Linked DNA regions of Coturnix japonica. The protein of the gene in region 1 interacts with the protein of each later gene in a biochemical or structural test. Links are inferred from orthologs where the notes say so. Each region holds a gene or a part of one and is shown in the gene's direction. Other genes may lie near its edges. The genes, in order: POU2F1 and POU2AF1.

What was found.
Region 2: the proteins of POU2F1 (region 1) and POU2AF1 are reported together in a solved structure, tested with the Homo sapiens proteins (2 studies listed by BioGRID, with this or other methods). The link is inferred for Coturnix japonica from reciprocal best matches to the Homo sapiens genes POU2F1 and POU2AF1.

What each region holds. Positions count from the first base shown.
Region 1 is NC_029516.1:82,221,162-82,228,281, reverse strand, and holds part of POU2F1 (POU domain, class 2, transcription factor 1), read left to right. Parts: intron 1-3,373; coding exon 3,374-3,515; intron 3,516-5,637; coding exon 5,638-5,783; intron 5,784-6,542; coding exon 6,543-6,722; intron 6,723-7,120. UniProt on the Homo sapiens protein: Transcription factor that binds to the octamer motif (5'-ATTTGCAT-3') and activates the promoters of the genes for some small nuclear RNAs (snRNA) and of genes such as those for histone H2B and immunoglobulins.
Region 2 is NC_029539.1:3,682,916-3,690,035, reverse strand, and holds part of POU2AF1 (POU domain class 2-associating factor 1), read left to right. Parts: intron 1-5,376; coding exon 5,377-5,504; intron 5,505-5,899; coding exon 5,900-5,942; intron 5,943-6,032; coding exon 6,033-6,304; intron 6,305-7,120. UniProt on the Homo sapiens protein: Transcriptional coactivator that specifically associates with either POU2F1/OCT1 or POU2F2/OCT2. It boosts the POU2F1/OCT1 mediated promoter activity and to a lesser extent, that of POU2F2/OCT2. It recognizes the POU domains of POU2F1/OCT1 and POU2F2/OCT2.

The sequences.
Region 1 (7,120 bases):
CAGGAATACCAATAGAGCTGAAGAAAAGTCATCTCAAATGTAGTGAAAATGGTTGAATGAGGAGTACAATTAGAAGTACAATACGTTTCTTTATTCTGTTGAAGGGAAATACCACTTGGGTGCAAGAGCCCTTTTGTATCAGTATAAAAATGAAATATTTTACTACGGAATTAAAATAATCTGTCCAGGTAAACAATTCATTTTGTCAGGAGCCCATGTTAAGCACAGACGTGTTTTGCCAGAAGAAATAGCAAACAAAAATCCAAGTAGGTATTTAAAAGTCTGAGCTCAGAGCAGTCAGTCCAGAATATGTGATTTGTCCACCCTTGGAATAAGTAAACCTACTCTAGCTGAAACTATGTGCTGAAGTCAGATTTATTTTTCTGGCAGAGCTTTAAATGTTTGAAAAATCAGGGTTCATAATGAAAGTTCCTGGCAGTGTCTTAATTATAACCGAAGAACAGAATGTTCCTAGTAAAATTAAGTGCATTTTGCTGGCATGTGTGCCTCCTTCTCTTCCTTCTTTCCACTAGAGGGAGGTACAGAAATGTAACAGTAGTAGACACACATAAAAACTGGAATAAAGCAGAACAGAATAGAGTAAAACACAATAGCTTCCCTACAGCCCGATTGAGGAGGTTTATGTAGATCTTTAGCTATTATGTTTAGTCTGTCCTACTGTCAAATGATTATAAAGGCTCAACTGAGACTTTTTAAGCTATGGATTAACCCTTATTATTTTGACTCTGTTACAAATTTTCTGTGGTCAGGAAAAACGATCACAGCTTGCATTTTAGTATTTGCTTTTTAGCTTAAAAATAGCAAACAGAACAAGCAATAAAATTGCATTTGATCATTCCTGTCCTGCATTAAGTGCGTATGTATATATTTATTATATTCTAAAAACGTCTACTTAATTGTGTAATTGGAGATCCCTGTTACTTCAGTTTCCTGTAGTTGGATAAGCAGACTGCCTTTTAAAGGATATAATAAATTTATTTCCAGTCACACTGAAAGTTTTTTAAAACCCAACCCACCTCTGTTTTTCAAAGATTGTTTGCGTAGCAAATGGATCACTTGCTATATTCTACTTTCTCAGTAATATAAAAGACACTGAATTTCAGCAGTGTCCTCCCCAAAAGAGTCCATAGTAGATGTGTTTATATACTGTTATCTAACTGTTTTTCTTAAAAGTGGCTCTGTCTCTGACATGCAGAGTTACAGTGAAAGTATTGCATCTTAGTCTTATTGCAGTTGTGGGGCTAATTGCTCAGGACAGATCAAAGCTATGTGAACAAACATTTTAGATTCTCTAGAGGATATTACCTCCTCTAGTCCATCTGAACTTCATAGAATCATAAAAGGGCTTGGGTTGGAAGGGACTTCAAGGGTTCCGCTGCCGCAGTCAGAGTTGCCAGCCCAGATCATATTGCCCAGGGCCCCATTCAGCCTGTCCTTACGAACACCTCTGGAGATGGGGCATTCCCAGCTTCTTTGGGTGACCTGTTCTAGCACCTCACTACTCTCTCAGTCCCCTGACATCTAATCTAAATTTCCCCTCCTGTAGTTTAAAACCATTCCCCATTGTCCTATCACTGTCTACAGACAAGCACACACAATAGTGAGGTACCTTATAATCAGTCTTATTTAATTACTGGAGTGTCATTCAGTCTACAACATAGATGAGACATGTCATTCATTCTCTGTTCCATCCAAACTTTCAGTAGCCCATCCCAGAATAAGAAATTCTTGCTCCTATTTGTAAATTCCTTTGCCTACATCTGCAGTGCTGCCCTGCCACCTTTTTGGTATTGAAAACTGCTGACAAAGAAATGGTTAACTATTCATTTTAATCATACAGTAAGTATCAGTAAGAACAACAGAGATATCAGAATTAAATTTGGTTGGGCACTGGAGCAGATTTCATAAATCTCTCTTCCAAGACATAGACCAGCTTATGGTTAAAATGGTTGACATAGCCAGGTTTTTTTCATGAACACACTAGAGCATCCAGGTTACTTCTCTTGGAATGATTTGTGAGTTTTGAAATGCACAGAATCCTGGGATATGAGTTGAGATTTCCTCAGTTTTCCTTTCCTGTTTGAAGGGCTTACAAACCAATTGTTCTGTTCCTCTTCAAAGGAGTTTGTTTTCTTCATGCAGCCTGCACAATTTACTTACCAAAGGCTTTCTACCTTGCTTGGATGTGACCACTCTGCATGCTGTTGGTTTATTTGTGTCAAGCTGTTGTTGTGGATCTGATGTAAAGGAAGGCAAGCAAGCTTTACGTGCCATCCAACTAACTCAGTCGCAATTAAACTCCACTAACTGTGCTCAAGCTCTTCAGTCTTTTCTTCCAGGCTTTTTATCTATCACCTTTTGTGTTAAATAAATAAATAAATAAAAAGATATCTAAATTAATCTAATTTTATAGCACATAGTAAGAAACAATTACATTTTCTGAAAAGACAAGGCCTTCATGCTGTGAAACAAAACTCCAAAGCATGCTGTTTATAATAACTGTGATCAAGAATGGGACTTTATCTTTTTTAAATGAGACTTTCAAAGCATGCAGTACGTGGTGGCTGCGTACGTATACTGGAGCAGAATGTCTGAAAGCTAGCTAAAACTGAGTTTTGAAAAGCAATAACGCTTAAAGAGGTGATCATCTGTCTGTTAATCTCATGGCTAGCTTTTGGCAGATGGGTATTGGTAGTGAAGACTACCGTTAATCATTATTTGAAATGATTGAGCTTCTTGCCTGCTTTGAAATGCCCATCTATGGGGAGAAGTTTGATTTGAACATCAGAAGATACTACAAGTTCAGCTATGAGTATTTCTCCATTTATTTAAATGTGACTTCAATTTGTAGACAAGCCACATTCGTCTCTTCAAGAGTGTTTTTCTGCTAATTTGAGGACATAAATTCACTGTATTTCTGCTAACTTGAAGTTTTTCTTCATTGATATGAAATATACATAGACTTAAATCTGCTCCCAGAGAGAGTTTGGCCTTTCCCTTTTTTTTTCTTTCTTTCTTTTTTATTATTATTTTTTTATTTTTTAAAGAACTATGAGAAAAATTGCAAGTTAATATGCAGTGGAATGTTCTGAGTATTGATAATGCTAAGAAGAAAAAGCATGAGGGATTTCCTGGAAAGACTTACACAGTTAAATTGACCAAGTGAAGTTTGAAAACATGACATTTCTTTGTCTTTATTCGCTTTAGTGTGAATCTTTAGTGCTGAGCAACTTTCTGTGAAACTGAATTCTGTGCAGTATAGGAGTCACTAAATACTCAAGGATGTCGACAGGATTCCTTGCTTTGGAAGTACCTATGTTAGTGAATCCCTTTTTTCTCTTTCTTTGTCCAGGGTGATGTTGGGCTCGCTATGGGCAAACTCTATGGAAATGACTTCAGCCAAACCACCATCTCTCGCTTTGAAGCCTTGAACCTCAGCTTTAAGAACATGTGCAAGTTAAAGCCGCTTCTGGAAAAGTGGCTCAATGATGCAGGTGAATGAGTCTGTGTATTTCTTCACCAGCCTACCAAAATCAGTAGGATTCTGAAAAACTTTGGAAAAAATGCTTCGTTGGTGCCCTTATGGTTTTATGAAGCCATCGATCTTGTGTTCATGGGACAAAAAAGGGTGTAGAAATAAGTGCCCCTTCTTCCCTGTTTGTGTGCCCACATATGTCTGAAATAGCTCCCCTTTGAACTTCTAGAATTTTGTTCTACAGTCAGCTGAATAATTGCATGGGGTGAGATGTAACGTGTGTCATGGTTTTCCTCCTTCATGTATGTTAATGCATATAACTTCTAATCCTCCTCTAGCTTTCTTTTTCAGATGTGTAATAAGAGAGAGTTGCATGCTTTGTTGTTTCAGTAAGCAGAGCTTATTGCATTCATCTCCTCCCACATCCCCTGTGTGCATTCTTTTCATCTCACTCCAAGAGTCCTTATGAGCACTCTCTTTCTCTCCATAGGAAGAGTTATTTGTTAGGGTTTTTGTTTTTTTTTTTTCTTTCCAGAATGATTTTTTTCCTAGGGAGAAAGTTACTCATGATGCCAGTGTTATAGCGAAAACAAAGAGAAAAAGAAAACAAAAAGCTCCAGAAAATGGAGTTTGGATGGTGGTGCTAGGTGTCAGGATAGATAATGTTAGTGCTGTCAGCTTTTTTTCTTTTGAATGTATGGTTGTACGTAGTGTAAAACTGATGGATCTGCTAAACCAATGGCACAGATGACTTGTGCCTTCCTATTGGTATCAAGATGAAGAGAGCTTTATGCTTTTACCTGCAGTATTCCCTGAAATTTTGTAATTAACTGGATTCAGTGTAGAATTTTTTTTTTTTCTTCATTGGAACAAGGAGATGTCATTCTGTTGTGCTTGCCAGGTGCAACCTTAGATAATCTGTATCTATGATAGAAAACATGAAGAACTTCACACTGACTGCTGTAGTTCTCAGGGCAGAAATCCCCTAAAAGCTGACATGAGGGAATGTCATACTTTGTTTTTCCTGCTAACCGGAAGAAATACTTGGATTTGTAAAATGAAGCTAAAGACTGTTAACGGTGCTGGGTTCCTATGCAGCCTGAAAGCTTGGAACCATAGTCTTTGGCTCTCATTCAATTTCTTGAAAATCTTTGAAAGAAAGATTCGGGTGACTATAAAGGTCATTCAGCTATTTTTGGGTAAAAGCAGGCAGCAGAAGCATATCAATGATCTATTACATTATGTTACATTGGAGTGCTAGAATTCACTGTTACAGAATTTGCTTTGTTCTGTGGGATTTTCAGGATGGTGAAGGGATCCAGCAGATTTTTGGGTAGTTACTGAAAAAAATAATAATATAATCTAGAAAATATTGTAGTGAATGTGCTTGCCCATTTGAGCCTATGAGAGTGGTGTTAAGCATTATGAACTATGCCATCTACTTATCAGGCATAAACCCCAGTGCAGAAAAGGGTCTTCAGAGTTACTCAACCATAATTGGTCATTTTGCTTGAGCTTAGTTCTGGAACCTGTTGGTTGGTTTGCACTTCCTTGTGCAGAGTGGGTTAAAAGTGCATCTTCTCTTCGCTATTCTGTGGGGCCAGAAAGGATAGGATTGGCAGTTGACAACTGGAGACCTTCTAAAGCTAAGGAGAGGGAAACTCTCCTTATGTAAAGCCTAGATGTGTAGGCTTTCTAGCAGAGCTGCATAGCACAGACTATCTGCTAGGATCTCCAAAGAGGCTTAATGCTGTGAAGGCTGGGAACTTCTTCTTCCTGTACTGTGCTGCAGAATAGGTAAAAGAAATTTCAGATCGCTCAGATTTTTTCATAGTTTGTGGCTTATTGCTGTGGGGTGTGTATATCAACTGCTGCGTTTTTTCCTTAAACTGTAGTTGTAGTCTGATAGTGTGGTTTGGAATGAGATATGGGAGAAAGAAACTTTGTATGGGTAAAATAAAAGGGGTACTCTGGTAGAATACAGGAGCAAAGACAGCACCCTCCTGGGCTTAACTCGTAGATTTTAAGTGGATTTTAGCATGCCTTGCACAGGGGAAGAGCACTTACATTATAAGTTGCACTGCATTCAGATAAAATCTCTTTATTTGTGTTAATTAATCTTTTTTTTTTTTTTTTTACAGAAAACCTCTCATCTGATTCAACTCTCTCCAGCCCAAGTGCCCTGAATTCTCCAGGGCAAGGAATCGAAGGCGTGAACCGTAGGAGGAAGAAACGCACCAGCATAGAGACCAACATACGTGTGGCCTTAGAGAAGAGTTTCCTGGAGGTCAGTGATACTGTTGTTCAGGTCAATCTATAAAGAAACGAAGAAACTTTAGTTTAATGATGCACCTGCTAGAATGAAACCATTACCGTACTATTTAGGAAGTTGCTTGTACTAATGGAGGTAAATTCAAGGACTGTTCCAAGGAGCACATGATCAGTGTCTATTTTAATTAAAAAAAAAAAAACAGCAAAAAAACCCATGCATACAACCACCCCACCAAAATCTCATTGGTTCTTACAGTTCCTTGACTCAGTGATTTTTGCAATCCAAGGTGCTGAACAGTAGCTCAAAGCTTGATGTTGTGCACACCAAAAAAAATTAAAACAGAATTACCTTTTCTGAGTATGGGTAAACGGGTAACAGTCTCAACATACATAACATTCAGTTCTTAACTACCTTTATGCAGCTGTTCTGTTCATTAACTGGAGATGTTAAAAGAAAGCTTTCCAATCAATAGCCAGAGTTCTTAGAAGGATAAACTTATACAAGTCAGATCCTTTCTCTCATAAAGACTCATGTGGGCTTTGTCTTCATCACCCATCTTTAAGGAATGTAGCTTGCCATTGGTAGAAATTCTCCTGTCACTTGGAAAATGTAGGGCAAAAGTATCTATTATGATCTGTCTCTAGAGAAAGTGCCACTGAGCAGATTCTGTGTATAAATAGCCTATCCAGATTTCTGCCTAGTGAAGGAGAGTCTATAATGTAAAGCGTATGAAGGTAGTTTCTCACTTTTCAAGTACTTGTTTCCTTTTCTCAGAACCAAAAGCCTACCTCGGAGGAGATCACCATGATAGCTGACCAGCTAAACATGGAGAAGGAGGTGATCCGCGTTTGGTTCTGTAACCGGCGCCAGAAGGAGAAAAGGATCAACCCACCCAGCAGTGGTGGAACCAGCAGCTCGCCCATCAAAGCAATTTTCCCTTGCCCAACCTCACTGGTAAGAATCAAGAATCTGTGTTGAAAAAGACCACTGGAAAAGAAAGTTCTGCTCTGCGCTCTGTGGCAATTGCACGTGCTACACCTTCTTTGTACAGCAGATTCATTCTCACAAGTGTGTCTTTTACTGGCATTTTAAATATACTTCTTGCATACTACAAAAGAGAGAGAATGCTTAAGTATCAGGCACTAATCAGGTCTTCAGGTATTTTATTTAGCCAACTCATGACTAAGTATTCTGGCTAGGGAATTTGCATTTAGGTTGTTGCTTTGGAAATATTCCAGATAGTAGCCCATGCTTGTATCTGGGTTTTCTCTTGACAAAACTGTTTTTATAATATAACAGCAATAAAAAATGCTTAGCAGTTCTACCCCTCCTGCCTTATTTGGGCTGCAGTG
Region 2 (7,120 bases), on another chromosome or scaffold:
CCCCGTCCAGCCTGACCTTGGCTGTATGCAGGGATGGGGCACCACTGACTCTCTGGGCAACCTGTGCCATTGCTTCATTACCCTCAGTGCCAAACCTTCTTCCTTATATCCAGTCTAATATTGGCTTTTCACAGCTATGTTTGCAATTGAGCTGAGGGCAGTGCCAGCTGGAATGCGAAGGTAGAGGCAGAAATGTTTGCTCCATCTGTACCTGCATGGAAGTAGGCTGCACAGAACTCCTGGCAGCCTCCTCCATCAGGATGCCATTGGTATGGTATGGTATGGTGTGGTATGGTGTGGTATGGTATGGTATGGTATGGTATGGTATGGTATGGTATGGTATGGTATGGTATGGTATGGTATGGTATGGTATGGTATGGTATGGTATGGATGTAAATGGGTTTTTAGCACAAGAGGAGGTTTCAAAAGGAATGGTATCATCCCCATATTTACCACAGCCATGAAATAAACAAAACCAAAACAGCCAAAGATCAAAACAAACAAAGTGAAAATCGAAGAGCGACGCCGGTGATTTGAATAGGTGTCACCTCACCAAGAGGGCATTTCTTGTGGGCACTTCTGAAGGGCAGTTTCCTGCTTTCTGCAGAGGACCTTTCAGCAGAAAACCCTACAGGAACAGGGCAGCCCTCAGCCCTGCGGTGACCAGAGGCCCTCATCCTCTAGGGAGTCTCGCATGGCTGGAGATGCGCACTGTGCCGTGACCCTGCGGGAGCTTCTGTACAGGAATGGGGCCCAGAGCTTCCGCTGAGCAAAAGGCACGGCCTGAAAGCATCCCCTCCCACGGCAGGAGCAAAGTGACTGTAGGGGCTTCCCAGCTTTTGGCAGGATTCTGCTGGATGGGAGCTGGCTGCTCGGCGGGATGGGTAATTTCTATTGCGCAGCACCTTTCCTCTTACGTGTCGCTATCTGCATACGGACTCCGTGTTGTATTTTGATGACAAAATGAACATACTTCTCATGCAAATTACTTCTGTTATGAGAGGGTATGCGAGCAGGTTGCAATTCGGCAAGTGTTTCACATTGACGTGGTGTTTTTGGTGAGGTCAATAAGCTTTGGACACTCAACTCCTACTCAAGTCTTGTGGGACGGGTGCAGGTGAGGCAGGATTCCCGTGCAACAGAGAGATGTGAATCTTCCCCTTTGCAAACCTCTTCCCAAACGCTTTTTAAGCCCCTGAAGCCTTTTCTGCCCTCAGCAGATGTGGGGCTTTATACTGCCTTTCTGAAAGTATCAGATAATGAGACTGAGAGGTGAAACTGCAATATGTCACATCTTGTGAGTCTTAATTTTGGTAAAAACCCCACTGGGAAAGATGGATAGCATGAAAGTTGAGTCCATCCATGCTTTACAAAGCAGGTGTCGGGCTCTATGAATGACCACATTGTCAATTAAATGGAAAGCCTGCATTACTAAAATGGAAAGAGTATTCTGGGCTGGGAGGAATTAGGACATGCAGGGTGAGACTTATGGTTAAGCCACTTTCTGTCTATCTCAGCTTCCCCTTTGCAACGGGAGTTCTCTTATTCTGAAAGAGATAATTTTTGGCAGCCCTCACCACCACAAAGCTAATGCAGCCATCTCCCTGTGCTGTAGCAGAACTCAGTTTCTGTACAGTGCTCCTATGGCTTCCACTCCTTTACATCTCCTGGAGGTGTGGAGGAGACCTTTCCTACAAGGGCAGCATGCTGGAAGGACTCAGGCAGGGTATGATGGCACATGGATCTGCTGGAACACAAGGTTGCTTTTGTTCTTGGACATCTTCTTACTGTAGATAAACACCCATAGATGAAGGGACTGGGCATAATTGTGAAATATAGTACTATGGCAGTAATCTGTTTCACGCCATTGAGTAGTTGTCGTGCCAAGCAACTGAGCAGAAAGAGACCAAATACTGCTCTGAGTTGTTGGTAAGCAAGTGAAATAGTTAGTCTGTTGATTTAATTACACTAAGGACCCTCCCGGGTTCATTTCCTTATGCTGAGCAATGAACCATTGCTTGTCTCTTTTGCTCTTGCTCTGAGTTTTTCTGTTTATTGTACAGCAGATTCTCTGCCCAGATGTTTGCTTAGCACTTTGCATTGAACTAAATCCTCACTGAGGTACACACCCTCGGTGTGACAAGCGGTGTAGGAAATAACCTGCTCTGGTCCAGTTCTCTTAGTCAGGGTTATCTTATAAAAAGAATAGCAACACCTTACAGGAGATCTGGGATGTGTCGGAAGCACAGAGTGCCTTTAGGCTTCCAAATGGGCGCACCATGCCAACACTGTGGCCTTTGGGTGTCATTTCAAATGGAGAGACCACTGATGAGATGGCACAGTGGGCAATGACCAAAGGCAATGCGGAGAAATGCCATGTTTGGAGTTACTTTGTGGTTTATTCAGCATGTCAGTCAAAGAATGGTCTGTTGGTCATGACTCCCAGTGTCTACCAGCCAACCCGACCTGTCACTACCAACACAGCTCCCTTACAACTGTGGCCTGTCTGCTTTGATCACAACTCATTTCCAAGCAGCATCTGTTGCAAACCAATGCTACCAAAAAGGTTTGGGTTGGAGTCAAAACATCCAAGCAGTGGATCCAAAGCTACACCTCTTTTTTCCCCCCCACTACTCTTTATAATTTGTAATTCACCAAAGTTCACTGCACACCATAGCAGTGTCAGCAACTGCCCTATGGAATTTTCAAGCCCAAAGGCCAAATGTCAATGGTTTGTTAAGCAAAATGCCTTTTTTTCTTGTTATCCAAGAGGAACCGTTTGCTTTTTGGCGTTCCTGTAAAGATGAAAAAGATTTCTATTGTATTTATTTTTTATTACATTGGAAGGGAAAGAGCAAAATGTTTGCACTGGTTGCACTGATTGGTTGATAGCTTATCATACAGTATAAGCACAGGGAAAGGAAACCTTGTGAAGCGGTGGTCTTTTGCTTCTCTGCAATCTCAGCAAGCTGAATGGCTGAGCAGCCTTCAACACCTCTGTGGGCTTTTTGCTGTTGTCTGTGATGCATAGCACTGCAGGGAGTGCTGTGTTTGGTACCGCTTGGTGCTCTCTATCCACTTTGAGACATTGCTCCGAAGGGTTTGGGGTTCATGCCAGGCTTTTCTCAGCAATCAGTAAATGCACTGAGTGATAACATTGATGAAAGGAGCTTGGGTTTGTAAGGCGGCCTGACCAAAGCGTTGTAATGAGCTCAACTAAGTTTGCACGCAGAAACTATGGTCAATCCTACTGGCTGGGTCAGGTTCTCTCTCTTCTCTCCATGCTTTCAATGTTTTGTACTGCTCCAGCTTCAGCAAGCAGCCACAAATTGGGACCTAGTGCCTGGTAAGGAGGATGTACGGCTGTTGTGCTGTGCACCAAAGTACACCTGATGCTGTTCTTTATCTGTTTTGGGTTTGTTGGTGCATTGCAGCTCAGTGTAGCAGTCTTTATTGAGTACAAAGTAGGCTTGATAGTTCATTAAGGCAACCCTTAGATAGAAACGGCTGGAGAGTGCTCAATCCAGCTACATTCTGCTTAAGGTTATTGGTCATTAATTTAATGGTCATTAAAGATCCAAAAGACTTGTAAAAGATCACGTTATTTTGCTTTATGAGGAATTGCACATTGGAACCCAAGCTCGTCTTGCTCTCTTCTTTCTGCACACTTGAGCAGTGGAAAAGCAGCTGTGCTAGCATTATTTATATTTCTGGAGGTCAGCTTGGGGGGAACCGAAATATGTTGTGCAGACTTTGGTTTTATTTTTTTTTTTTTTTTTTTTTTTTTTTTTGGGTTACTCTGCTTACACCGGAAACTGTGAATAGGTATATTTGTCAGCTTTTACAGTAAATTTCTTCTCTCCCATCCCCCCAAACCTGGAGCCAGAAACTGCCATCCTTCCCCACCCAACCCTGCAGAGAGGAGCTGTGAGGGCAGCTTGCCTTGGGGATAGGGCACTGCCAGGAGGGACGTTCTGCTCCTCTTGCACCCTACAGCATGTTGGCTTTGGCTGAGCCGATGGTTTTGCTCAGCTTAAACAACAGCAACACCCAATTCTGAGACGTTCTTGGTAAGGTACCAACAATGCATCTCTTCCAAAGAAATGTCATGCAAGAGCAAAATAGTGCCTATGGGATGGGCTTCATTTCAGACCTGTCTGGTATTCAGCTCATTTTCAGAGTTGTCATTGTGAAGAGTCAATTGCAGCCCACAGCATGGTGCTCTGTGGCACTGCCTTTAGTTGTCACTTAGAGAAATGAATGCCAATTACGCTGTAAAAGCAAAGCTGCATTAAACGAAGTGACCTTCATTCCCTTTGCTAACTGCATTTCCAAAGCCACAGGAGTTATGAGAATGCAGGCAACCCGCTTTGAAGTTCCACAAGGAATGGTCAGATAGAACAAGTACACATCAGGCAAAGGCTGAGGAATCAGCTTTCCTTCACCTACTGCTCTAAAGCATGGAATTTTCCCTATATGCATAAAGGTAACAAACAAAGAGAGCAGTTCCACACATAACTGTGGTGTTATCTGCTGCCAGAAGTATTTATAATGGCCTCTCAAGATTTCGTGATTAAATGGTATGTGGTGGGGCTGAAAGAGCAAACTGTTGGCGTTTCAAAGCTGAGGGAAAATAGGGATTTCATTTTTAAAAGAAATCCAAGCAGAAAAGTCAACTCTGTCAAATATTTTTGAGGCTCTCTTGCAGTTTTAGACTCAGCTTTTCATTTCGTTCTGCAGCGCAAAGCACAGAGCGTAAATCTGAATCAACGCTTCCTACTGGGATGGTGCTTTATGCGGATGATTTGAGCTGGGTATCCAGCTGGGCTCCTTCATAAAGCCAACTGCAGTCCTCAGAAATGGAAACTTACCAACTGATATGCTCACAAATCGAAGGGCCTTCCTGAGCTTTGTTATCCCGTGGTCTCCTGCTCTAAACTGCCTCCAGTGACTGTGTATAATGCAGGGTGATAATCTCTGCTGATGAAGAACGGTTCTTCCTCTACTCTTGTTGTCTTATTATGTATCTTGCTGAGCCTGCTCCCAAAAGCCATGAGGCATATGTGTCCAATGGGCAATGGCTGCCCAAATGGGGATGTTCTTCATGTTTGCTTCTATTTGCAGCTTGCTTCTAAATAGGGACTATAACATGACCCTCTTGAATATCTCATCAACCAACCTGCAGGTTCACTCAGTCCCGTTTGCCCTTCAGGTGCTGTAAATCACTGCACTGCACACCTGTGCCACAGCAGCAACAGGAAGCAAATAGACCAAAGGGAAAGGGCATCACGTAGGAACGTTCTGCAGGAAAACAGGGGCAAGAAAAGAAAACAAACACCACCTGTCATGTGTGTTTTTTTTCCCCTATTTTTACAGCTTCTGCTTCAGAACAACAGCCGCAACCTCGCCCCTATCAAGGGGTCCGTGTCAAAGAGCCAGTGAAGGAGCTGCTGAAAAGGAAAAGGGGAAATGTCCGTAATGCCACTGCAGCAGCAGCCACGACGGTAAGAGAGATAAAGAATTGCAGGAGCAGAGCTGGGTTGGGTAGTGAAATAACTGAGCTGCCCTGGCATTGCTTGGTGCAATGAGAGAAACCTTTGTATCACTAGTGTTCAGAGGTAGCAGAACCTCTTGATACCTAGAGACACTATGATATATTTTAAATGTCATTTATAAATCAGATGTAAATGAAGACCAAGTTTTGAGCAATGTGGTGTAGTGGGAGGTGTCCCTGCCTGTAGGGTTGGATTATATGATCTTAAAGGTCCCTTCTGACCCATTCTATGAAATAAATGCATTTTTGCTTTTAAGGTACTAGGCAGCTTCAGCTGCCATTGATTTGAAAGAGATGCTGCTGCTTATGGTATTAATCCTTGGATATTTTTCTTCCCTTTCCTAGGTTGTTTTGCCCCACCAGCCGCTCCCTTCCTACTCACCAATGGGTAATGCTTCCCTGATTTTCTATGTATTTCTCAACCCTGCTGCAGGGAAAGCCATGCAGAACTGAGCTGTCATCCCCTCCTGTCTTCCAGGCCAGCCATGTATCGATGTGGATGCTGCTGCCCCTGCACTACCCAGTGCAGAGGAAGGAGCCCTCTGTTCCAGCTGGCTCTCCCAGCCCTCTCCATCATCCCTGCAGCCTTTGACTCAGTGGACCACTTACCCCGACTACGTGTCCCACGAAGCAGCCAGCTGTCCTTACACTGCAGACATGTACATTCAGCCCATGTGTCCCAGTTACACGCTGGTTGGACCTTCATCTGTGCTGACCTATGCGTCTCAGCCACTGATCACCAATTTTGCAGTAAGTCAAAGATAACTATGTATAAATGATGGCTAATCCCCACCTTCCAGTAAGCATCAATGGGGAGTGCAGGATATAACTCATATAATTTAACAGCAATAACACAGTCAGTTCAGCTTACTGTTGTCATTGGTTCCAATTGGACGAGGGGTTCTTTGTCTTAGATTTGCAATAGCTGAGAAAGCTGTGGTTCTGAATGGGTTTACTCTATGGTCCCTATACACTGTTGTCAAGTCAAGGACTTAGAATCATAGAATGGCTCAGGTTGGAGGGGACCTCAAAGGTCACCCAGTTCCAACCCTCTGCCATGGGCAGGGCTGTCACCCATCAGTTCAGGCTGCCCAGGACCCCATCCCACCTGGCCCTGAGTGCCTGCAGATCTGGCAGTCCTCATGAGATTCTTCACTATTTAATTCCAAATATTTGGAAAAGAAAGAAAAAAAAGCAAAAAGTGAAGAAGGGAATTCTAGGAAATACCTACTGGACGTGCCAGGAAAATGGCTTGGTAAAAAAAAAATGCTGCCAAAGAAGGCAGCATTCAGTATAAAGTGAAGCTGTCTCATGGCCTTGCAGTGAGGGTGGGAGTGGGAACAGAAAGCTGAAGGGAACTAACTCATCATGAGCTCAAGCTACTGCCCGCGAGCACCTGGGACACCCACAGCCACCGCTCTCATGGGAGCCAGCGTGGGAAAACTGCCACCCTGGGTGTAAATCTTCCCCAGAGAGACAGGAAAAGGGATGTTCAAAGTGAGACTGAGCATCCTTCCCCTCATTTTGTGTCCCACACCCCACCCAATGGCCAATGGTTTGATTCTA